Lonchura striata: one gene and its partners. The main gene of each other region encodes a partner of the protein of the gene in region 2 in a complex. Links are inferred from orthologs where the notes say so. Each region holds a gene or a part of one and is shown on either strand. Other genes may lie near its edges.

Region 1 (6,956 bases), about 11 Mb from region 2:
CTTTTGTTGCACACATCTCAGTACGGAGGCCTCCCTTGAGGCTTTCCCCCTCCACAGTCATTGTTCTAGATGTTCTGCTAACCACCCCCACCACGTCAGAGTCCTGTCTGCAGGAGCCTGTCTCGGCAGAGTCTTGACAAGTCTCCACTCTGAGCTGAATCCTCAGTTTCCTGTTGACCTGTTCAGAGCTCACAGCCCACCTGGCCAGTATCTCTCCCTTTCCCTGCAGCCCTGCAGGGACAGGGAGCCGCTGGTGCTGCGGGGAGGAAAAAGGAACCACAGTCTCTTGCATCCTTCAGCTCCATCAGCAAGGAATCTCTCAGCTTAGACCCTTGTGAGATGTCTTACCTCACCTGTGTCCCGTACTGAACAATAAATGAAAAACAGAAAAAGCAAAGGTGTGTCCTGGATCTTACTTGGAAGCATCTCGGGGACAAGCAGCATAGAGAACTTACTGCTTTTTGAGGTGGCTGGTTGCAGAGAGGGTTTTGTGGGCTTTTCCCTGAGAGCCCACCATTACTCCAGTAGGCACTACATGGGTTCAACCTGCATCTTGCTTCTGGCATATAACAGCTCTTCTTTGGGCCTGTGGTGATTTTGTTATATCTGTGTATCTATTCCAGTAGCTGCTGGAGCACCTGGCTGTTCCACCAGTGAGCCAGTCTTCCCTGGCAGGCTCAGTAATGTGCTCATCCATGCTCTTTGCCTGTAAGCCTGGTAATTGACTTTGCTCACTCAATGTAGAGTGGAGCAGCTCAGTCTCTGCAGGGAAGGATTTTATTTAGGCCCTGTGTTGGGGCAGTACTTGCTGCTTGCTTTCAGCCATGTGCTGGTGGGTGAGAAAGCAAGACTTGATGTTACTTCCCAGCTAGCTGCTGGGGTTTTTTTGGTAGTACTGAGGGTGATGAAAAAAAAGTGCCTTACAAGGAGGAGCTTATTTGTGAGGCAGTACATCCTTGGGAGCCTATGGACAGTGTTCCAGCTGCTAGTGCTAGCATCACTTGAGGGATAAGGGGCCAAGAGCTGAGGAGCAGGGAGGAAAAAGCCTCTGGTGCTGGGGGCGGTCCTGCTGCCTAGCTGGATGGGAGGGATCTTCCTAGGATATCAGGTGGTCTGAGAAGGACGGGCTTGACAGCAGCAAGGAGATGGCAGCTCCCAGCTCTGTATGTGTGTGGAGTGAAATAGAAAGAAGGAGGATGGTTCAAAGACAAAAAAAAAAAAAAAAAAAAAAAAGGCAAACTGAAAACTATATAACCAGAGCACATGTTTCTGAGAGACTGCTGGGCCATGGCTGTAGGTTGGGGCTGTTGGGTCATACAGACCAGAGCAGCAATGTTGCAGCAGGGGCACACGGTGATCCTAAGGCTGCAGGGACTGGGTACAATCACTCAGGGCTGGGCCACCACCCGCTGCAGCTCTGCTATCTGCTCCTGTTCCTGCCCAGCCCTGCCCACAGTACAAGAGCCCAGGAGAGTGACCTACATAGAAGAAAACAGATGGGAGCTGGCATTGATCTTACTGCTTTGAGAGAATTCAGGGGCATGAAAACATTCATTTAATGAGGAATAAACTCATGGAAAATAATTTCTGTATCAGCAGGAGTGCCAGATCTTGTTTCTCTTTTTTTTTTGTCTGCTTCCTGGCAGGACTGCAGCTCTCTGGAGTGGAAATACTGCCAGATCCTCACAGCAAACTGTAGTGGTTGGATCTTAAACAGGTTGCTGTTGGAGAAAAATGCACTGTGCCAGATGTAACAGCCTGAGAGAGGCTGCAATGGCTCCGCATCCCCAGCCCCAAACAATAACCAGGCTGAGCCTGTATTCCCAGTAGGCACCACACACATGCTGGACTCAATGATCCTTGTGGGTATCCCTTTAAACTCAGAATATTCTGTGACTTTGAATATATTGTACTTAAACACAGCCATGGCTGGCCACACAGATCCATCCACACAGAGCACTCCCACACAGCACTGACAGCCTCATCCCACGCCCTGCTCCAGCTGAGCAGGACAGAAGTGCGCTAGTGAGCGTCTGTGTCCATCTGTGTATTTACAGAAGAATTTACACTCGTGTACAGCAGGTCTCCTTCCAGCAGCTGCCTCAGGCAGTGCCCAGGAGCTGCCCCTCACTCCCAACCTCTCCAGCCCCCAGCAGCAGCTCCCTGTGGTGTTCTGACCACGAGTTCCTCATGCAGGGCAAAGTGCAGAAGGAGTTTAATGAGAAGATCTGACAGGCTGCGCTGATCAGGTGCAGGACATGGACAAATCATCACAAACCATTTACACAGGACTGGCCCTTTTTATTCCTGTGTGCTGTATTTGTTTCTCTGTGACCTAGGTCACCCTGGCTCCTGCCCTAATCACTCCCTAACGAGTCCTGTGCAATCCCCAAATGCTCTTCCCCTGCGTCTCATCCTGTCCCACACCCCTGAAGACAGTGACACCCCCAATGTTAAAGGTGCTCTGGGGCTGAGGCTCCCCTGGGATGGCACTGGACAGGGTGTTCTTTTCTCTGAGTCCTTAATTTGGGTTTCCACCTGCCACTGTGCCCCTCGAAATGGGCCTTTACTGGGCTGATGGCTCCTGGGACGGGCCTGGAAGCAGCCTGGCAGGTGCTGCTTGGGCTCCCCCTCCTGCCATCACCGCCTGTGCTCCTGTGTGGGTGTGCAGGCCAGGTTTTAGTACATACCCTCCTTAATTGTTGGTATAATTAGGTTTGGGATATAGAATCTAAACAAAAATTTTCTAGTTTAAAGATTCGTGTTTCTGTAATTAGGGGATGTTTAGGGCAGGAGGCAAAGGCAGGAAAGGAAGTGTTCATATGCAGATTAATGCTTTACTCTGAGGGTGGTGAGGCACTGGAACAGGTTGCCCGGAGGAGTTGTGGCTGCCCCATCCTTGGAGGTGCTCAAGGCTGGGTTGCACAGAGCCCTCAGCAACCTGGTCTAGAGGGTGGCATCCCTGCCTGTGACAGAGGGATTGAGACGAGCGGATTTTTGAGGTTACTTCCAATCCGAACCAATCTGTGGTTGTGTGGTAATGAGCAGGGAGTGAACTCAGATTCACATTCACATGTGTAGCACAGGAGAAGGGGTCAGCACTGGGGAGTCTAGCAGGACAAGGCAGGACGCAGCTTGCTGTGCAGCCCGGAGTGCAGGGGTGCTTTGCAGGAAGGGCGATAGCTGATGGTTGTGTGAGCAGCTCTGCTTGAAGCAGCTTACCTAGCGCTAATGTTACCCAGGCACTGCAAAGGAGCAAAGTGCACTGAAGGGAAAGAGCCTTGGACTTTGTATGAACTGCACAACACTGCTGACCATCAGCTCTGAGCCGCATTCCTGGCTGGTAAACACCCGGTGCTGTTGGCATGGGCTGGGCACGGGCAGCCTCAACCCTTCCCAGCCCCGCAGCCTGGAGGACAGGGCTGGAGCAGTGCACCCCAAAAACCCCTTCCTGTCATCCACGTGCTCATAATCGGGAGGCTTCATGCAAAGCTCAAGACTAATTCTGCTCAACATGTTAATTAAACATTTACTAGAGGGTAAATTAAGCGTTAATTAGGCATTCACCGCCCGAGTGCCCACCACCCTGCCTGACTTCGAACGGGCCCCGTTTTGAGCTGGGCGCGCACAGAGATCCCTTCCCACAGGGGAAATCCTGCCGTTGTGTGGATAGGCGGCCAGCGGCAGATGTCGCCCAGGCGGCAGGCGGAGCGGGATCGAGCTCTCCGGGCCCGCGTTGCGGGCGGGACGCGCCCCGAGCTCTCCGGGCCCGCGGTGCGGGCGGGACGCGCCCCGAGCTCTCCGCGCCCGCGGTGCGGGCGGGACGCGCCCCGAGCTCTCCGGGCCCGCGGTGCGGGCGGGACGCGCCCCGAGCTCTCCGCGCCCGCGGCGCTGCGGGCGGCGGGCCCGCCCCCGTTCCCGGGGCAGCGGCCGCGCCCCGGCCAGCGCGGCCCGCCCGGCATGGAGGACGAGGAGCTGGAGGAGGAGGGGAAGGAGGAGCACGGGGAGGAGAAGGAGGAGGATGAGGAGAAGGAAGAAGAGGTGAGGAGGAGGCTTTCAGCACCGCCCGGCTGCGGCTGGGCCAGCGCTGGCCTTGTGCTCTCCTTGTCTCCCAGGAGCCGGTTCCCTGTCCCCTGACGGAGGAACACCTCAAGGAGGGCCTCTCTCTCCTCAGTAAGACCAGCAACGGGCTGGCCCACGCCTATGTGAAGTTTGAAGCCAAAGACAAGTGAGTGTGCAGTGCCTGACCCGGCAGAAGCCCTTTCCTTACTCCATGGCCATGGAGTGTTGTGCTGGACCGGCCGTGCGGGGTAGGAGCGTGTCCAGGCCCTGCTCTCCAGCCCCTGCATTCCAGTCTGGGCTTCAGCACAGCCTGTCCATCCTCAGCCCTGGGCACTGCCTCCAGACACACCTCTGGGAACACCAGTGTGTCCTAAGCCTGCCCATCGCTCTGGACTGCGCTCTCCTAGGGGGGCCTGCACAGAGTGACCTCCCTTACAGGCACTTTGAGAAATACCCATTCACATCTGGCCTCCTAATTGCTAACCTTCAAGACAGGCAGCTCTAAGTACTGTGCCACAACAGCCTTGGAACAGTTTGGAGCCTCAGCCTCCCCAGCACAGCCACCCAACTAAGGCCCCATTAAGACTGTTTCTTTCAGCAGCCCCATAGGGTATCTCAACCACTATTTTTTCCACTAGAAAAGTCCTTCCACTCAATCCTTTGTGTTGACACTATTGTCTAACAGACCCCTCCCCAAAACTTACCCATTTCTCTGCTCTGGTTGTGCCCTGTCCTGACAGATACAATTTAATTGGAATAAATACTCCCTCTGCCAAGAAAGCATGTCCAGTCTTACCATTCATCTTTGCTTACAGGCCTGTCCCTATCACCTGCCGTTTTCTTCCTTCTCTCAGCAGAGCTTTCTAGCAGCAGGGAAGTAGGAGAGGTGGTTGCCCTTCCTCCAGTAGTGGCAAGGAGAAATCCAAAAGATGGTAGTGGGGAAATATGAGAGATATTTTATTCACATTCACTCTCCCTCAGGGGCCTGACAGACATCAGCCTCCTCGAACGCTTCATTCACCTGCGGTATGTGGATTTGTCGAAGAACAAGCTGAAAGATTTGGCCCCACTGAGCAGCCTAACCCAGCTGCTTTGGCTGAAGGTGGATGAGAATCTGCTCACCAGTGCCAGCATGCAGGAGCTGCCCTACCTCCAAGTCATCAGCTTTGATCGCAACCGCATCATGGATTTTGAGGGCCTTACTCACCCCCTCCTAGCCAACCTCAGCCTGAAAGGTGATACGGTCTACCTGTCTTGTGGGGACACTCTCTTGGAAAGGTGGGATTAACTCCTTGTTTCTTCTTCCTCTGGCACTCAGAAAATAAAATCGAGACAGTGCAGGGCCTGAGTCACGACCAGTTGTTCAGCCTGGAGGTCCTGGAGCTTCGAGGAAACAAGATAAAGACCACAGCAGGGCTCGGCGTTTCCAAGCTCAAGAAGCTCTATCTGGTAAGGGATCAGCCATCCTGGGGAGTGGGACAGACAGAGCTGCTGCAGAGCCCAGCCCCTGCAGCCCAGATAGCACAAAGGGAGTGGCCATGAACCACAAATCACAGAGGAGTCGATGTTGGGGGCATCAGGTTCTTCCCTCACAGCCTCCTGCAGGAGGGCAGCTTTCCTTTCAGGCAGTGTTGGGCAAGCTTGTATTCCGTGTGCCCTGGGACCACTGGAGATCACTGGGCAAGCAACAGCTTTGTTCTTTGGGTGGCGAAGGGAAGAAATGCCTCTTTCTCCTCTCTGAGGCCCTAATCAAATACTGGTTTAAAGCCAGCACAATTATGTGATTTACACCTACACCCGCCAAAAAATAAATAGATTCAATATTGCAGTGAAACTAAGACAGGAGAAGCAGATTCTTAATATCATAAACAATTACTTCAAGGAAGCATTTACTCCTAGAGATGCAAGTGAAGAAAGTATGTATGGCTTAGCCCCATGGATCACACTGTGCTACAGCTTGCAAAGACTAAACAGATGTCTTGAGTCACTACCTCTTGAAAAGCAATTAAAGATGATAAAGGCTTTGAAAAACTATGTGGTTTCTTTTCATCAAGATTCCCTGGCAGAAAACACTGAAGAGATTGCTTGCTGAGATCGTCTGCAATTTTCTGAAGGGAAACTGGGATTTTATGACTGGAGGTGCTCCAAGAATGGATGAAGTGGATAAGTCACTAGATACAATACAGAATTTCAAAGCTTACCCAGTCACCTTAGTGAGTTATTGCAGGGAAGCAAACAGACCATCTCTGCTGAGGGAAGGTTCCTGGCATGACTGAGGGGTTTCTGAGCTGCCATGTGAAACAGGAAAATTGCAAGGGGTGATTGTTAAAACTAGAACAACTGACTCACAAGAATATTTGGGGCTTGAATTTATCTCCCATGTCTACCTGCTCATTAAATTATTTTGCAGGGAAATCTCCCCCAGTAATGCTTTGGTTTCTGTATAAAGACTGGTGTTATTTCAGCCTTGGATAAATGCAGCTGATGCCTCAAGGACAGGGTTCAAGATAAAGGGTTCAATTTAAGGAGCTAAACCACATTTGGTTAATGTATGACATAGCCACAGATTAAATTTCATAGTAAAAAGTGGTATGTGCTAGGAAGACTACAAGCTGGGTGTATGCCATGTGGCATTTGCATCATTTCTGAAGGTTATAGTAGGGCTGTGTTAGTTCCTGCCCATGGGGCAGCCGTGGTGGCAAAGGCTAACCTGAAAAAGGTGAAGTGTGCAGGAAGGGGAGAGGAGATCATGGTCAATGTATGGTAACTTTCCATAAGAAACAGTGGTATCACATCTGGGTGAAGAACTGGTGTCCAAGGGAAGGTGATGGTGCATCAGACAGAATGTTGTTTGATTTAGGGGAGAAAAATGGAACAACTCTGAAAAATATTCA
Region 2 (8,076 bases):
TAGAAAAGTCCAGATTTCTTTTCCACCTGGGATAAACCTGGAATGCAACTGCTTCTTCTTGTGCAGGTTTCTGCCTCAGCATTCCTTTTTTTTTTTCTGGCCTTGCAGAGTCACAGGCAGTGAATATGCTTAGCAGGTCTTCCCCTGTACAGAACTAGGCTCTTGAGCAGAAGTATTTATATACGGAATTATATAAAGCTAATTCTTGGTGCTTTTACCTTCCTGCAGATTACCTGCCTTGATATATCCAGTGGTGGAGGACTCGGAGTGTCTACCAGCACAGACGGGACCATGAAAATATGGCAGGCTGCAAATGGAGAAATAAGAGTAAGAACATCTGGCTTGGATATTTTTGTGTTGTCTGTGACATTCCTGAAGTCCTGAAGGCCATGGCTTTGGTCAGGCTGTCCACACCCTGTGAAGAATCCGGCTTTTTAATGAAAAGCTAATTGAAATTGGACATCTTGGAGGCTTTAAGTCAAATCTGCTGGAAAAGGTGGCCTCTCCCAAGGGGGATGTTGCTCAGAGAGGTACTCAGGAGTAAAAGGTCACTGACAACCCCTAACCTGCATGGTAAATGCACTGAATTTCTTATGAAAAAGAGAAGAGGGGAGGAAAAAAGATTTTGGTGCTGGATTAGGTACATCCTGGCTTGTGGCTTTCCCAGTAAAGAGGGAAGCTTCTTCTTGTGGAGCTTGACCTGTCAGCTTCTTGTTTGGCAGAGGATAAAGACATTTAACCTGTGTTTGTATCTTCTGCTATGTAATTAGCTGCTCAAATGGTAGAAGGAGGCCCAAAGTCAGCACTTTGCCCAAAATTCAGACCACTCCATTCCAGCAATGCAGACCCAGAGGATTTGAGTTTAATCCTTTGCCCACCTGAGAATGCCAAGATTTCCAGTGTCATAACTCAACAACTGCTCGGCACAAGGATGATGACAATGGAACTAGCACGTAGTTCTTTGTTTTTCCAGAGACTTTTGGAAGGCCATGTGTATGATGTGAATTGTTGCAGGTTTTTCCCATCTGGCCTCGTGGTTCTGAGTGGGGGAATGGATGCCCAGCTAAAGATCTGGTCAGCAGAAGATGCCAGCTGTGTAGTAACATTTAAAGGTCACAAAGGAGGTACAGAGCCCTTAAAATGCTTTATTTGCTGTGTGTGTACTTGCCTTGCACTCCAGGGTTGATGTCCAGTTGCCAGCCTGCTGCACTCTGTGTTTCATGTCTAGAATGTGGCATCAGATGGCCCAGATTCTCTCTTCCCTGAGCTGCCAATGGCTGTGTCCAGGCTCTGGTTTTCCCTGTCCCATGAGGTGCTGGGCTTGATTGAGAGGTTAATAAACTCCATGGCTGGCTGCCCTAAACTTGATTCACTCAAAAACCCATCTTGTGCTGAACCTGCCATTGTTTTTACATGATTTGTGGGTTGGAAGTTGTTCTTCAAGGCCCCTTCCTACCCAAGACATTCTATAATCTGTGGGCATTGAAAATGCTTTTACAGCCATGTACCCAACCCAAACCAGGGGGTGTGGCAGAACCTTGGTCAGAGTGATGCTGCCAGTCACTCTCCAGGTGACTTTAGTCACTGCTTATTCCTTCAGCTCAAACTGCTGCAGTCTGTTTGCTTGGCTTATCCTGTCCTTTGAGCTTCTGTAGGAAAAGTGGCATTTAAATCTTCTGACCACCTGGCTGTTCCCTGCTAAGAAAACCACTGTCATTTTTCAGATCCAAAATTTACAGCCCACAGTAAAATAAAGTAGTTAAGGGATCTTAGTGCCAGCAGACACTGCTCTTTGGATGTTGCTGTAGCTGGACAACAGGGATGATGCTTTTGGGATTATCCGGGGCGGGGGGGGGACATGGGAACGTTTAAAAGTGCCAAATTAGAAGTTCATTTTGCATGGAACCAGCTCGGGCTGAGGTGAGGTGTTGCTGATCATTTGATTGATAATATCTTCCCTTTGTGGTTCCACACTGTGGAGTTTTCTGGGAGCTGTTGCCTTCCACAGGCACCTTTTTCTAGAAGCACAACTTGTCTGTGTGCGACTGCTGTCACTGGGGACAGTAGTCTGGAGCCAGTAGTCGCGTTCAGCTCGGGAAATCGGGTGCTTTTCGTGTCAGTATGAACACAGTCTGTGGTTTCATGCAGGTGTTTTGGACACTGCCATTGTGGATCGGGGAAGGAATGTCCTGTCCTGCTCCAGGGATGGCACTGCCCGTCTCTGGGACTGTGGGAAGTCTGCGTGCCTGGGCATCATCGCTGACTGTGGCTCTCCTGTCAATGGCATTGCCGTGGGCACTGCTGACAACTCCCTGAACCTGGGCACACCCGAGAAACCTCCCAGTAAGGGCCTTTCCCTTAAAATACCCCTCATCTCCCTGTCCCAAATTGCTTAGGTTTGTCCCCAGTAATCCCAAGTGATGGGAAAGCTGCTCCATGCCCTTGTAGCACCATGGGAAGGGAACAGAGTGCTCCAATCCTGGGTGGAATTTAGCCCTATCAACCTTCATCATTACTGAGTGATGAAGACTGAGCTCTGCATGGTTGCTGGCCTTCCTGGTGTCTTGGGATCTGGAGGAATCTTGCCACAATTCAGCTGGGGCGATCCAAGCTGTTGGGTTCTGATCCCACCAAGGTTTGTTGTGCAGCTGGAATTAGCTGTTGTCCTTTTTCCAGGTGAACGTGAGGTGGGGACAGAAGGGAAAATCCTGCTGCTGGCTCGAGAGGACAAGAAGCTTCAAGGAGTGGGACTGCAGAGCAGGCAGCCAGTAAGGATCTGGGGCTGTCAGAGCACTGGGATGGGGAATTGAGCTATGTTAAACCTAAACTGGAGGAGAGGCCAAAGCCTGATGCAATAAAAGGATGCTCTCTCTCCTTCCTCCTGGACAGAATTTTATGTGAAGAGTAAGAATTGCTCAGGATTTAACCTGAGAACAGAGAAGACAGTATTTAAAATTAAACAGTGGCAGCTGCACTGTCTTCTGAATAAATGCTTCCCTCTTGTGGGTGTCCCACGTGCCTGACACTTGGTTTGTTCCCAAATCCTCAGGTGTTCCTCTTTATTGGATCTGATGCCTTCAACTGCTGCACATTCCTGTCAAGCACCTACATTCTGGCAGGGACTCAAGATGGGAACATCTACCAGCTGGATGTGAGAAACACAAAGTGAGTGAGTGCCTGGGACAAACAGCCAGTGTTTTGGTTGGAAAAGAGAGTCAGGCAGAGGGTGCTGCCAGGCGGTGCCACTTCCAAGGGATGCATCCCATTGCATCCTGAGCCTCTTGCATTATTTTGGTGTGCTGTGTGTATTGTTATATAAAATTATAAAATTATAAAAGTATAATCTGTGTGCGCATACGTGTAGATAAATGGGGCAGAAAAGTTCTTATCAATATTCCCCCCTCCCATACTGCCCATTTCTTTCCCTCATGTGGATCCTGACATTTACGCTGATCCTCATTCCAGCACAGGACTGGAACTGAGCTGTGGAGTTTTATTGCTGTTTCCTGCTAACTCAGTCCATAGGAAAAAATCATGGAATAGTTTGGGTTGGAAGGGGCCTTAAAGCTCATCCAGTGCCACCCCTTCCCATGGGTAGGGACACCTTCGACTAGCCCAAGCTGCTCCAAGCCCCATCCAGCCTGGGCTTGGACACTCCCAGGGATCCAGGGGCAGCCACAGCTGCTCTGAACAACAATCCTCATCCCTTGTTTCTCTTCCTTTTCCTAGTGCTCCAATCCAGGTGATCCACAGATCGGGAGCACCGGTGCTTTCCCTGCTCCCGTACCGAGATGGATTTATTGCCAGCCAAGGTAATTCCAGGGCTGTTTTTTGCCCCTAGAAATCCTATAATCGAGTCAAGGAGCTTTGTGCTCTTTGGGCATTGTCCTTTTGCCCCTTTGCTTTGGGATTTCCGGCCTCCATATCCCTCGTGACCCTCCACAACGGGGCCTCCAAGGCACGTCTCACACACCGGAGCCTTTTCCCGCTGGAGTTTCTGTCAGTAATGAAGAGCGTGGCTGGTTTCACTGATTGGCTGCTGTGCCTTCCTTGCAGGGGATGGCACCTGCTTCATTGTTCAGCAGGACCTGGATTATGTCCTGGATCTCACCGAGGCCGACTGCGACCCTGTGTACAAGGTGAGGAACGTGAGGTATCCCTGAGGAGAAGGTTGGCAGGGAAAGCTGATGCCAGGCAGGAGGCAGCTGCCTTTATCTCAGGCTTTTCACCTCAGCAGGTTCCCTCACACAGTTGACTTCTGAGTTTATCTTTATTTTTTCTACCTGAATAATCCTGATATTTTGCATAAACCAATCCTCTGCAGAATTCCCTGTCTTTATCTTGGTTGTGCAGGAGCTGGCTGGAGTGGTGGAGTTGGAGCAGGTCTGGTAGAGCTATGTTCCTATAAAAAATGTGGATAAAGAGTGCTGGGAGAATCCTGAGGGTAAAAGCAATGGTGCTGCCTGACCCATCTTGTTCCCTTTTTTTTTTTTTTCCCTTCTTCAGGTGGCTTCTTGGGAGAAGGAAATCTACACATGCTGCCGGGATGGGATAGTGAGGAGATACCAACTTTCTGACCTTTAAGTGTTTGAAGGAGCCAAATAAAGGAGAAGCGTCTGGGAAAGGCTCTTCCAAGCTGATTTTCCTGGGATGTGTGTGTTCAAGTTTGAGGCTGTTGTGATGACCAGGATCCATACACAGTGTTTTTGTAACAGGTCACATTTTGCTACTACACAAAAAGCTGGGATCAATTTTTAATTTAAAGAGGATCTTGTGTTGCAATGATGTTGTGGTTGCATTTCCAGTGCTGAAAATGTGCTGTTTGTAGTGGGGGGGAAATAAATAAATAAAGGGAGCGAGGGGGTGCAGTGAAAGTGATTGTCACAGTATGGAGTGAAATAAACCGCTGCTTTGATAGCACCTGTGTTAATGCATGAAGCCTTGGGGGTTTTTAAGAAGAAGAGGTGCGGGGTGAGGGGTGCGCGGGCCCGGCGGAGTTCGAAAGCGAGCGGGAGAACTACGCTTCCCGTGGTGCCTCGCGCGGCGCGGGGCGCGTCGCCATAGCCACGGGACGCCATGGGGCTGGACTACTACGCCGTGCTGGAGCTGGACCGCGGCGCCACCGCCGACGACATCCGGAAGGCGTGAGGGACCCCCGGCATCAGAGAGACACCCTGGGCGGGGGGCAGCGGGGTGGCGGCGGGACCGGGGCGGCCCCGTGCGTGGCTGGCCTTGGTTTCCCCCTGCCCCGCGGTGGGGCCTGCGAGGGGGAGAAGGGTCTGGGGGCAGCCCGGGCTGGGTGTGGGAATGGGGCCGGTGCGTCTGGAGAGACGGGACACAGGGAATGGCTTCCACTGCCAGAGGGCAGGGATGGGTGGCAGATTGGGAAGGAAATCATGGCTGTGGGGGTGGTGAGCCCTGGCACAGCTTCCCCAGAGAAGTGGCCGCCCCCATCCCTGGAAGTTGCTCCAAGCCCCGTTCAGCCTGGGATAGTGGAAGGTGTCCCTGCCTATGGCAGGGGGTGGGAAGGAGATGGACTTTGAAGTCCCCCTGAGCCCATCCTGTGCTCCTTAGCTATCGGAAGCTGGCCCTGAAGTACCACCCACTGAAATGCAAGGAGCCCTGGGGCCCGAAGAGGTTCCAGCTGCTGGCAGAGGCCTACGATGTGCTCAGCGACCGTAAGTGGGACTGTTCCCTTCCTTTGACTGCAGGGGCAGGAAGGGGCTGGGAATTCCTGCTCCCTGGCAGGAGCAGCTCCGTGACCCACAGCCCAGCTGAGAACTGGCACACCCATGTCTGTCTCCCCTGGAGAAGAGGGAACCCTCTTCTCCAGCCTCCACCCAGACAAATCCTGGATCTCAGGCTGGGGCTCTCCCTCATTTCCCAACATTTCCTTGTTCCCTAAGCTATGAAGAAAGGCATCTACGACAAATTTGGGGAAGAGGGGCTCAAAGGTGGCATCCCCTTGGAGTATGCGGGTGGCAACCGTTGGAGCGTCGGATACGTGTTCCACAACAACCCTGAAAAAGTCTTCAGGGAGTTCTTTGGAGGGGACAACCCCTTTGCAGGTAGGTTGGGAGACGTTGGGACTGGCTGAGGTCTTTCTGTGGCTGCCATGATTTCATGGCAGCTGCCAGCTCAGAACATCAAGCTTTCTGGGAATGCTTTCCTCCCCAACTTCTCTCAGAGCCCTCTGGTGCTTGGAGGAGAGATCCTGACTTCCCCTAGTCCTGGGTCAGGGAGAGACCTGGAGGTGCTGTTCAGGCTGTCAGCTTTCCCCATCTGCTCCTGTGACCCTTCCTGGGATTCCCATCATAAAGAGGGATTAGGGAGATGATGCTGCCATAAAGAAAGAACACACTTGGGGTGGTTCCAGCTGGGAGGTAACAAGCCTGGAGGAGCCCCCCAGCTCTGACCCCAGTGAGGACTGTCCCTCTGCTCCCTCCCACAGAGTTCTTTGCCGAGGATGGCTCAAAGGTGCTGCTACCCTTTGCAGGGCCCCGAGGCCGGGGGGCCGTGCGGCAGGACCCCCCCATCGTGCAGGATCTCTACGTGTCCCTCGAGGACCTGTACCAGGGCTGCACCAAGAAGATTAAGCTCTCCCGCAGGGTAGGGGCTGTGGGGCTGAAGGGGGTGGTTTTGGGGGCGAGCTCTGCCCTCACTGTGGGACCTTGGGGATTTGGGGATGGCCCTGCCCCAGGAGCTTGTCACAGGGAGGGATCAGAACCAAACCCAGGAGGAGCTGAACCAGTGTTCTTCCCCCCAGCTTGGCAAAGGGAATTCAGCATGGGAGCTGGTAGGAAGCAAGGGCTGATCTCGGAGATGAGTGAGAAGGAGCTCGTGTTCTGGGCTCCCAAAATTCCATTTTCACACTGCATTGTGTCTCCTTTTTGTGCCTTTGGTGACCTCTGTTCCCCCTCCTTGTTGTCCCAGTCTCCTGGACCCAGCCCTGAGTCTCTCCTGCTCTAGGACATGAGGAAACAGCCTCAAGCTGTGCCAGGGGAGGTTTAGGTTGGATATTAGGGAAAATTTCTGCGCTGAAAGGGTGGTCAGGCAGTGGAATAGGCTGCCTAGGGTAGTAGTGGTGTCCCCATTCCTGGAGGTATTTAAAGCTATGGGTTAGTGGTGGCCTGGCAATGCTGGGAGAACAACTGGACTCCATGATCTTGGACATCTTTTCTGACCTAAATGATCCCACAATTCTGTGATCTGATCCTGTTTGTACCCACAGCCACTTTGGTGTGGAGTACAAGCCAGGCTTACCCTTTCCTCTGGCGAGCAGAGTGCTGCTGACCCTCCCACTCTGTGCCCCTCCCTGTGCACGCCCAGGTGCTGAATGAGGACGGGCAGACCAGCACCATCAGGTGTAAGATCCTAACCATCCATGTGCAGCCGGGATGGCAGCGTGGCACCAGGATCACCTTTGAGAAGGAAGGAGACCAGGTGAGCACAGAACCACAGAATTATCAGGTTTGGAAGGGAGCCCTGGAGATCATCTCATCCAACACCCCTGCACAGGCAGGAACTCATCCAGGTGGGTTTGGGATGTCTCCAGAGAGGAGACTCCATGTTCCCCTTGGGCAGCTGTTCAGTCCTGTGCCCACTCCGTGGAAAAATTCTTCCATGAAGAAGTTCTGGTTTTCCACTGCTGAGGGCATTTGGCAGTGTGACCAACAGAGAGATTCAGCATTACTGTGCTCAGGAGCACTCTGAGGAGCCATCCCTGCCTGGATTTTCCTCAGAACAGATTACAGAAAAAATAATTGAAAGGGCTGGTTTTCTTCCTGGCAGAAACACAGTTCGGGATTGGCCCTTGGCTGGGCAGGCATCTTGGATAAAAGACTCCTTTTTCTCTTAAGGAAAGAAAATACCTTTCTCTTCTCTGTAGCCAAAACAGCAACAAAAGAGCAAGAATTTGTGTCAGTTTTCCCAGTATAATATAATTTTCAGGTTTCTAAGGACAGGTTTGATGTGGCCTGGGGCAACCTGGTCTCGTGGAAGGTGTCCCTACCCATGGCAGGGGGTGGAACTGGGTGAATTTTAATGTCCCTTCCAACCCAAACCGTCCTGGCATTC
Region 3 (7,929 bases), on a different chromosome or scaffold from region 2:
CAGTTCTTGATTTAACTAAATTTGTATTTGGGTGATAAGTGAGTGACAATGGGACAGCATGATGTGTGGTATGAAATAGTGTGCTGGTTGTGTTGAGACCTTTCAAGGTTGCCATTTGCTGTGCTACACTACCAAGCCAGCATTTTTACTGGGATTGCTCATTTGCATCTTGCAGGTTAAACTTGGAGCACAGGCTTTTGGAAGGGAAAGAAGTTTGCTTAGGTAAAGTGTAGTGGTGCAGCTAATTCCATTTCAAGCCACAATTATTCAGGAAATTACCTGTCATTGCCTATTCCTTTGGTTTTACTATTACGATCCAAGAACAAATCACAAAAAAAAGTCAGCACCCTGAGATAATTTGGCAAATGCTTTTCTGCCTATGCCAGCTATTGTTCTAACAACAGACAACCTGCAGAGGCTCTGGTTAGCTGAAATTAAAAAAGCTCTAGAGAAGAACAGTTATTGAAAACCTGATTAATTTACAGCTTCTCATGTGTAAGAGAAGTAAGAGATAAGACTACAGACCCAAAAAGTTTATGGGATATGAATGAAAGCCACTTCACCTGGGAGATGACAGGTGAAAAAAGATGACTAAAGACCTACCAAGCCAGATGAGCAATGCCCTAGATGCTAAATAAGGAGATCAGTGAAATTCACTAAGAATTCTGAATTGTAGCCATTTGACTCACATGGAAACCATTAGAGTTGTGCTCTTGTTGAACCAGGGGAAGCCCTAGGTAAGCACGTTACAGATGACTCAGAGGAGCTGGCTCTGAACTGAAGCAATTTCTAAATGACAGAGATGCCAAAGACAACCCTATCATCAACCAGGTTGAGCTTTGGATTAATGAAATGCAGAATAAACAGGAAAAATTATGTTTCCACTTTGATTAAGATGGTATTTAGGCTCACCCTAATTAATTCATTTTTAGTAATTTCCTTTAACTATTGCTATTAACCATCCAGCTTATTAAGAACCACAGAATATCACAGATCTAAATGACTGCCTAACAGCTGCAAGAAGTTCATTCGGGACCTACAATCAAACTTTTCTCCCACAGGAAGAAGGCATCAGTAACCACCCTTCTGCTGCGCTCTCACCCCAGTCTCAGTTCTCAGTCCCTTTCTGCCCCGGCTAGCTCCCGATGGGGCGAGAAGGGCAAATGGAAGCACCCTCCGCTGAGCCCAGCAGGGCTTTGGAGAGTGCTCTGTGGGTCTGACAGGCGCAGCTGAATCCCACGGCGTGGCAAAGAAGAGAGTCTCTTGTTAGGGGCTGAATCCAAAGGTTATTGTAGCCCAGCAGGGCCCAACAACACCTGAACAACGCCAGCTAACAAGAGCCCCAGCAGGGCGCTTGCAACACCTTATATACTGAGAGGAGGGAATTGTTCAGCCAATGGGAGCACAAGGGGAGTGGCTCTTGTATAGACAGACACATATGGGAACCAATGAGGGATGGATATGGGCGGGGCCCCAGGCCCCTGTCCAATCACCAGGCAGCCAGGATGGAAGGTTCTGGATGTATGGGCGGGGACACCGAGTGACAGACAGGGAGCCTGGGAGGGGCCAAGGGAATGACTGACACTCGGGGGAGGATTGACACCCAGGGCAAGGCAGGAAAACAGGGACAAACCAAGCTGAATGTGGGGGTACACGGGAACGAACCATTACATTGTGAAATGATAATAAAACACGCAATAACACAACTCCACCCCCTTCCATTAATCCAGGGTTCTCTTCCTCTCTCGAAACAGTAGCAAATTACTCATACACTAAAATTCTGAGAGCTTACCCTTCCAAGACAGCATCTCCTCTATATGCATCAAGGGATTGTTACACAAAGAAGCCAAACATAGTTTTTTTTCAGAAATGCTGGTTTTGTTAAATATTACCAAAGCTCTAAGGCATCTTTATGGTATAAGAAAACAATGTCTTAAATCAAAAAACACATGATTACTATTGTGACATCCTTATCACTATGTCTTTAATAATAACAGGCAGGTCATCACTTAGGGAAAGTGACAGTGTCCCTGTGAACATATTTTTGGTCTTATCTGATCATTTGCCTTAACCACCCTGTGACTGCTTTATGCTACACCCTGCAATTATTTTCTAGTATTCTCTACCTGCATTTCTAATCCCAAACGTAATAATATATTAAATAATTACTAAATGTCACTGTATAAATATAGCACCCAACCAAAATTAATGACCCATGGGATACTTTTTGCTATCCAAAGTAAACATGGATGGTTTGAAATTTTAATAACCATAAAAACAATTACATGCTGCTCACAAAATGACCAGAAGATCTAGGTAGTTAAGCTTCAAAATTCAGAGCTAATGAAAGCTAATGAAAGCTTCCAAAGACCCATTAGTCAGAAAATTCATGAACATAAACAGGGCTTGATAACCACAAAAGCGAGTCAAAACAAACTCCTTAAACAACACAGAATCAAGCTGAGTGGATAAAGAAGGGAAATGAAGACCAACCAAAATCGAGTACTTCATTTAAAAAAAGGCTTTTAATATATAAATCTGAATACAAAAATAACCAAAACACCCTACAGTCATCACAAACAATCCTCAAGGTTTTCTCTTATCAGTTCCCTGACAGTTTGGCAAGCGCTTGTTTTCTCTGTTGTGCAGTCATATACTCACAGGCTTCCAAAATATTTACTATAATTAAAGTCTGTTGCACTGTTTTAGCTTTTACCCATATTCTTCCATTCATTCCCAGCACCAGCTCAAATGGGTACAATTGTGACAACTCTTGAATTATTTCACATTTGGGAGCCAAGAGCCTGTGAACAAGACAAAAAAAAAGTCAGAGGAAGGAGTGATCATGCTTACAGAGACCACATTATTATTGACCAGTAGCTCCAGCAGTACTGCTATTATGGGAGCCATTTAAGAAACACTGAAAGATTATAAAGTTCTATATACATCCAACATAGCAATACAGTATCAGATTTTCAAGGCTCCTGGCATATAAAATGCATGCACCTAAAAAAATAAAGCCATTATAAATTTACTTTTGTCATTAGATTCAGAAGCAATCCCTGATAAGTTTAAAGTTAATTGATACTTTTACACACAATTCTATGAGCAAATAAATCTAAAAGTACACAATTTGACCAAATGACATTTTTGATGTGCTATTTATTTGACACCCCAGAGGTGTCTTTCAAAACAGGACTTCCCTTCTATTTCAGGAAACAGTATTAACAGCAATAAATAGCCTACTTCATTTTTATTAGATGACAACATACTAAATCCTGTAATGCGTCTAGAATTAAATCAAGATTAGACAAGTATTCACAAAAAATAAAAGCATACCAGTATTTAGCAGTTTACTTGTAATATGCTGTTATTTTTTTTACTTGTATACAGACAAAACTTGGAAAACAGAATGGCTGCAAGAAGCTTTTGTATCAGTTCATGCTGACTTCTAATAGGACATATAAATCAGACAATGCCAGGTATGAAAAAGCTGCTCTGCAGTGCCAGATTGCTTATCCAAAGAATGACAAAACAAACAAAAAACTCCACCCAAAAAGCAAAAACAAATTTTGACTATTGTTTATCCATGTAATCTGGTATACTTTAACAGTCACAAAAAAAAAAGTCATGTATTTACATCAGCATAAGCAACTCCAAAGTTCACAATACATTTAAAAGCTTATGAAACAGTTCCTGGATTTATGTGTCAGCCTTAAACTAAAATCCAACATTTTTAAAATCTGTATTTCAATGTTATTTATTTTTATTTGGAAGTCAGAAAATAATGTGTACTGATGTGCAAAGATCCCTTTAATCAGCTGTCAGCCAAACATACACCCTCTATTACCCCCACGAAACAGAACAAGGACAATAAGCATTGCCAAGTTTTAAACTCCAAGGTAATATGTACATAGCTGAAACACTATCCTGAATGTTTGACTACCCCAAGACACTACTTTTATTTTCCATACTGCCTTGGCATCCACATCACTATTTTTAAACAGGTGATGTAACACCATACAAAAGAGCTTCTAAGTCTCTTAAAAGAAAAAATAAACTTTTCTTCTAGATCAATCCATACTCTATTCAGTAAATCTGGTTTCAACGCACTACAAGAATCACACAGTCTGATTTACCAAACTGCCCACACTACTCAGAAGAAACAGCTGTGGTAATTTATACGTGAGAGTGACTAATTACATTTTTAGTACTTACTTTCTTATTAGACCTAAGGAAACTTTAAAGAGGAAGCCGTCTTGTCCAATTATTCCCATGCCACTTGATTTTCCACTGCTGTCTATACACACCATCTCTGGTTCCATGTCTTTATTTGCTACAACAAACTGACCATAAATAAGATCTCCCACCTAAACAAAACAGTGTCAAAGAACAAAAGTACAGGATTTTATCTCTTATAATCATTTAGCAGGACAACAATAAAAAATATCACACCGATTTTGTTTTTCTTTACAGTTTTACCTTTTACATTCTGGTAATGGCATTTCATGGGAGTGCAGAAACTATGGCATGCATGTGCAACACAACCATTCATAACAGCGCTGTTAAAAGAACCCACACAACTAATATTTTCTACCAGCATCACGTTTTAAAACCCTAACATCGGAGCGCCCTTTCGGAGGCACCTTATGAACTGCATCTGCTCCTGGCAAACCAACACATGAGAGTGAAGCACCCAGCCAGCTGAGAGAGAACAAACCACGCTAGTTACGGTCCTAAAAAACCCCAGAGAGGCCGCGGCCAGTGGTGCAAAACGCTCTGAGGAGGACCAAGGCGAAACCATTAGAACCAGACCTCCCCTAACTTCCCCTAAGAAAAGCCACTGGAACGCGACACGGGCGCCACCAAAGGACGCAGCTGAAGCGTCACCGGCAGCGAAGCAGGGCACCCACCTGCACGTTCGGCCTGTTCCTCTTCGTGGCACCTTCGAAGGCCAGGTAGGACAGGGACGCGGGCTCGCTGCCGCCCACGTCCAGCCGGAACACGTCCCCCGCTTTGGCCGTCACGATCCCGATGACGTGGTCGCCCTTCACCGGCACGTACTGCAGCGGGCGAGGGGGACAGAGGGTCAGGGGAGCGCGGGCTAACACACAGACACACAGACACACACACAGACACACGGACCCTACCCGCTTCTGCTGCGAGTCCACCCAGAAGGCGCCGCCGCCCGCGGGCCGGTGCCGCAGCAGCCCGCACTTGGTCACCAGCAGCCCGGCCCCGCTGCGCCGCAGCCCCGGCCCGCACAGCAGCCGCCCCTGCGGCGCCGTGCCCGCGCTCAGCCGCAGCCGCTCGCCCTCCGCGTCCTCGTCGTAGTGCGCGGGCAGCAGCAGCAGGTCCCCGGGCAGCACCACCTGCCCCACCAGCGCCTCGGCCGGCGCGCCGCGCTCCGCCGCCATGGCCGCGCCTCGGGCCGGGGCGGCGGCTGCGCCCTGCGCCCCGCGCCCTGCGCGGAGCGGCCGCGGCGCGCCAGCGACACCGCCCGGCCGGTCCCCGAGCTGCAGCCGGCCCCGCGCCGCTCACGGCGCCTCCGCCAGCCGCCTGCCTTTCCTGCGGGAAGCAGCCCGCCTTCCAGTTCTGCCGGGGGGCGGCCAAGGTGATGTTCATTTCGCACTTACGCGTCGGAATTAATAAACACACGGAGCTAATTCTTCCAGCTGCAGTTACAAGGGTTTTGAATACCCGATTAGAAGTTGACAGCAAAACAAACAGCTGGTAAATATGAGGTGACCGTCAGCCGATGAGTTTGGCAGGGAGCAAAAAAGATCACATCAGTTGTGAAGGGAAACTGCTCACAGACAGATGGTATTAAAACAGTTGGAAAGGATCACAATGGGTCATCTGGCCCATCCTCCCTGCTTTAAGCAGGGTCATCCTAGAGCACGTTGCACAGAACTGCATCTAGACAGTTTTCAGTATCTCTAGATAGAGTCCACAACCTCTCTGGGCAATCCGTTCCAGTGTGTGGTCACCTGCACAAAGTAAAGTTCTGCCTCCTGTTTAAATGGAGCTTCCTATGCATCAGTTTCTGCCCATTCCTTGGTGTCCTAGTGGTTGGCACCACGAAGCAGAGCTTGGCACCTCCCCTTTAGATATTTATACATATTAATAAGGTCCTCTATCAAGCATCTCTTCTCAAGGCTGAGCAGGCTCAGCTCTCTCTTTCCTTATAAGAGATGCCCAAGTCTCTTAATGATCTTCATAGCTCTCTGCTGGACCCACTCCAGATCTTCATGTCTCTCTGTCCCTGCGGAGCCCAGAACTGGACACAGCACTCCAGGCAGAACCTCAGCAGACGGGCAGATTCACTTCCCTTGACATGCTAGCAGTGCTTTTCCTAATGCACCCGGGGGTACCATTGGCCTTCTTGGCAACAAGGGCACTGCTGCAAGACCTTGTTGTCCATCAGATCCTCCTCCACAGAGCTGCTCCCCAGCAGATTACCCCCAGCACTTGGGATTATTCCTCCCCACGTGCAATACCCTGCATTTGCCATAGCTGAATTTCAGTTTCTTCTCTGCTCATTCAACTCCATTTTTTTCAAGTCTCTCTCAAGGGCCACAAAACCCTCTGAGGTCTCGGCCTCTCCTCCCGGTTTTGTGCCCTCGGGGACCTTTCCGGCCAGGCCCTTCACCCCTCCGTCCGCTCCTGCGGGCGGCGCTGGGGCCGCTGCGCTGCCGCCGCTGTTGCGGAGCAACCCCGCGCGCTGGTAGGAGCGGAGCGGGGCCGGGCCGGGCCGGGGGCTGCAGCCCCGGCGCTCCGGGAGCTGCTGTCCGAGGGAAGGCGGGCGGCTACAGCAGAGCGGAGCAGGCAGCACCGGCTGCCGGGGACTGGCGGAGTGTGAGGGAGGCGGGTAACGGGCTCCGCGCCCCGGGGCAGGGCTGAGGAGCCCGGGCAGGGGGGCGTGGGCGGCGGCTCCGGGTTACGAGGGTGGGCACACTAAGGCCACCTGGAGCCCCCGTGAACGCGGAGGATGGGCTGTAGTCACTGTGTCAATTCATTGCCTGGGCTCTCTGCCCTGGCACGTTTTCAGCCCCCTTGGCAGCAAAGGACGGCTCCTGTGTACTTAGACTGGGCTGGTGGAGTGTGTGCAGAGATCTGTGCCTTTCGTAACTGTAGAGCGTTCAGACCCTCGCCTTGCACACATCTCTTAAAGATAGCTTTGACAGTTCAAACTAAAATTACCCTTAATTGTCCTCAGAGTTAGTTGCCTGTTCTCTGCATAGAAGTTTTTAATGTCCTGTTGTGCTTTTCAATGTTGTTTTTTTTGTTTTGTTTTGGTTTGGTTTGGTTTTTTTGTTTTGTTTTGTTTTTTTTTGTTTTTTGTTATCATGCAGCCCTAGAATTAGCAGTGTGTTTCCAAGTACTTTATGAATTATACATGTCCAAACAATAAGGTGGGGTTTAAGCATTTTTTTTTTCTGCAGTGATTGTTATAACTGAGCTGTCACTGGCGCCTTTAAGAGCTAAATTACTGCTAAATAACTTTCTTGTATAAATTGAAGGCTTAGTAAAAAGTATTGTCATAATCAGTGTTTGGCACCTGAAGCAAGAGTTCTTAGAGCCCCTAACTTAATTCTAACATTGATGTCTAATGTCTGTCTGTTTATTGTCAGTAGATTTGGATGGAGTCTCAGTATCTGAAGCAATGCCTGGGAAATTGTTTGAAGAAGGGACTGGCAGAGGTTGTAGAGCATCGGCCAGCAGATCCAATAGAGTATCTTGCACACTGGATTTACAATTACAGAAGAAACTTAGATGAAGAAAAAAAGGTAGATCTAACTTAGGCAAAAAAAAAAAAAAAAAAAAAAAGAAAAAAAAAAAGATTGCTACAATATAGTTGATGCTATTTAATATATCTTTCATTTTTATGTTTAATTGATTCTGTGTTACATCTGAAATAGAGAATGC

The links. Proteins that work in one complex are often made in the same cells at the same time.
Region 1: DNAJB13 (region 2) and LRRC23 share a complex: the UniProt entries of both Homo sapiens proteins name them as parts of the axonemal radial spoke complex. The link is inferred for Lonchura striata from reciprocal best matches to the Homo sapiens genes DNAJB13 and LRRC23.
Region 3: DNAJB13 (region 2) and DYDC1 share a complex: the UniProt entries of both Homo sapiens proteins name them as parts of the axonemal radial spoke complex. The link is inferred for Lonchura striata from reciprocal best matches to the Homo sapiens genes DNAJB13 and DYDC1.

Annotation. Positions count from the first base shown.
Region 1 is NC_134604.1:29,748,050-29,755,005, forward strand, and holds the start of LRRC23 (leucine-rich repeat-containing protein 23), read left to right. Parts: upstream 1-3,910; 5' UTR 3,911-3,960; coding exon 3,961-4,041; intron 4,042-4,115; coding exon 4,116-4,228; intron 4,229-5,043; coding exon 5,044-5,297; intron 5,298-5,380; coding exon 5,381-5,511; intron 5,512-6,956. UniProt on the Homo sapiens protein: Essential for sperm motility and male fertility. Plays an important role in the proper assembly of the third radial spoke (RS3) head and the bridge structure between RS2 and RS3 in the sperm flagella.
Region 2 is NC_134604.1:18,499,556-18,507,631, forward strand, and holds the start of DNAJB13 (dnaJ homolog subfamily B member 13), read left to right. Parts: upstream 1-5,027; 5' UTR 5,028-5,076; coding exon 5,077-5,144; intron 5,145-5,574; coding exon 5,575-5,678; intron 5,679-5,906; coding exon 5,907-6,068; intron 6,069-6,187; coding exon of another isoform or gene 6,188-6,228; exon of another isoform or gene 6,229-6,431; intron 6,432-6,451; coding exon 6,452-6,609; intron 6,610-7,329; coding exon 7,330-7,443; intron 7,444-8,076. Other genes in the region: PAAF1 (proteasomal ATPase-associated factor 1), read left to right, coding at 229-327, 974-1,124, 2,149-2,343, 2,677-2,768, 3,050-3,165, 3,730-3,812, 4,057-4,139, 4,507-4,584. UniProt on the Homo sapiens protein: Functions as part of axonemal radial spoke complexes that play an important part in the motility of sperm and cilia.
Region 3 is NC_134609.1:7,916,959-7,924,887, forward strand, and holds the start of DYDC1 (DPY30 domain-containing protein 1), read left to right. Parts: upstream 1-4,883; 5' UTR 4,884-4,913; coding exon of another isoform or gene 4,914-5,063; intron 5,064-5,150; coding exon of another isoform or gene 5,151-5,417; exon of another isoform or gene 5,418-5,431; intron 5,432-7,637; 5' UTR 7,638-7,643; coding exon 7,644-7,790; intron 7,791-7,922; coding exon 7,923-7,929. Other genes in the region: EXOSC3 (exosome complex component RRP40), read right to left, coding at 2,603-2,804, 4,219-4,370, 4,914-5,063, 5,151-5,417. UniProt on the Homo sapiens protein: Functions as part of axonemal radial spoke complexes that play an important part in the motility of sperm and cilia. Plays a crucial role during acrosome biogenesis.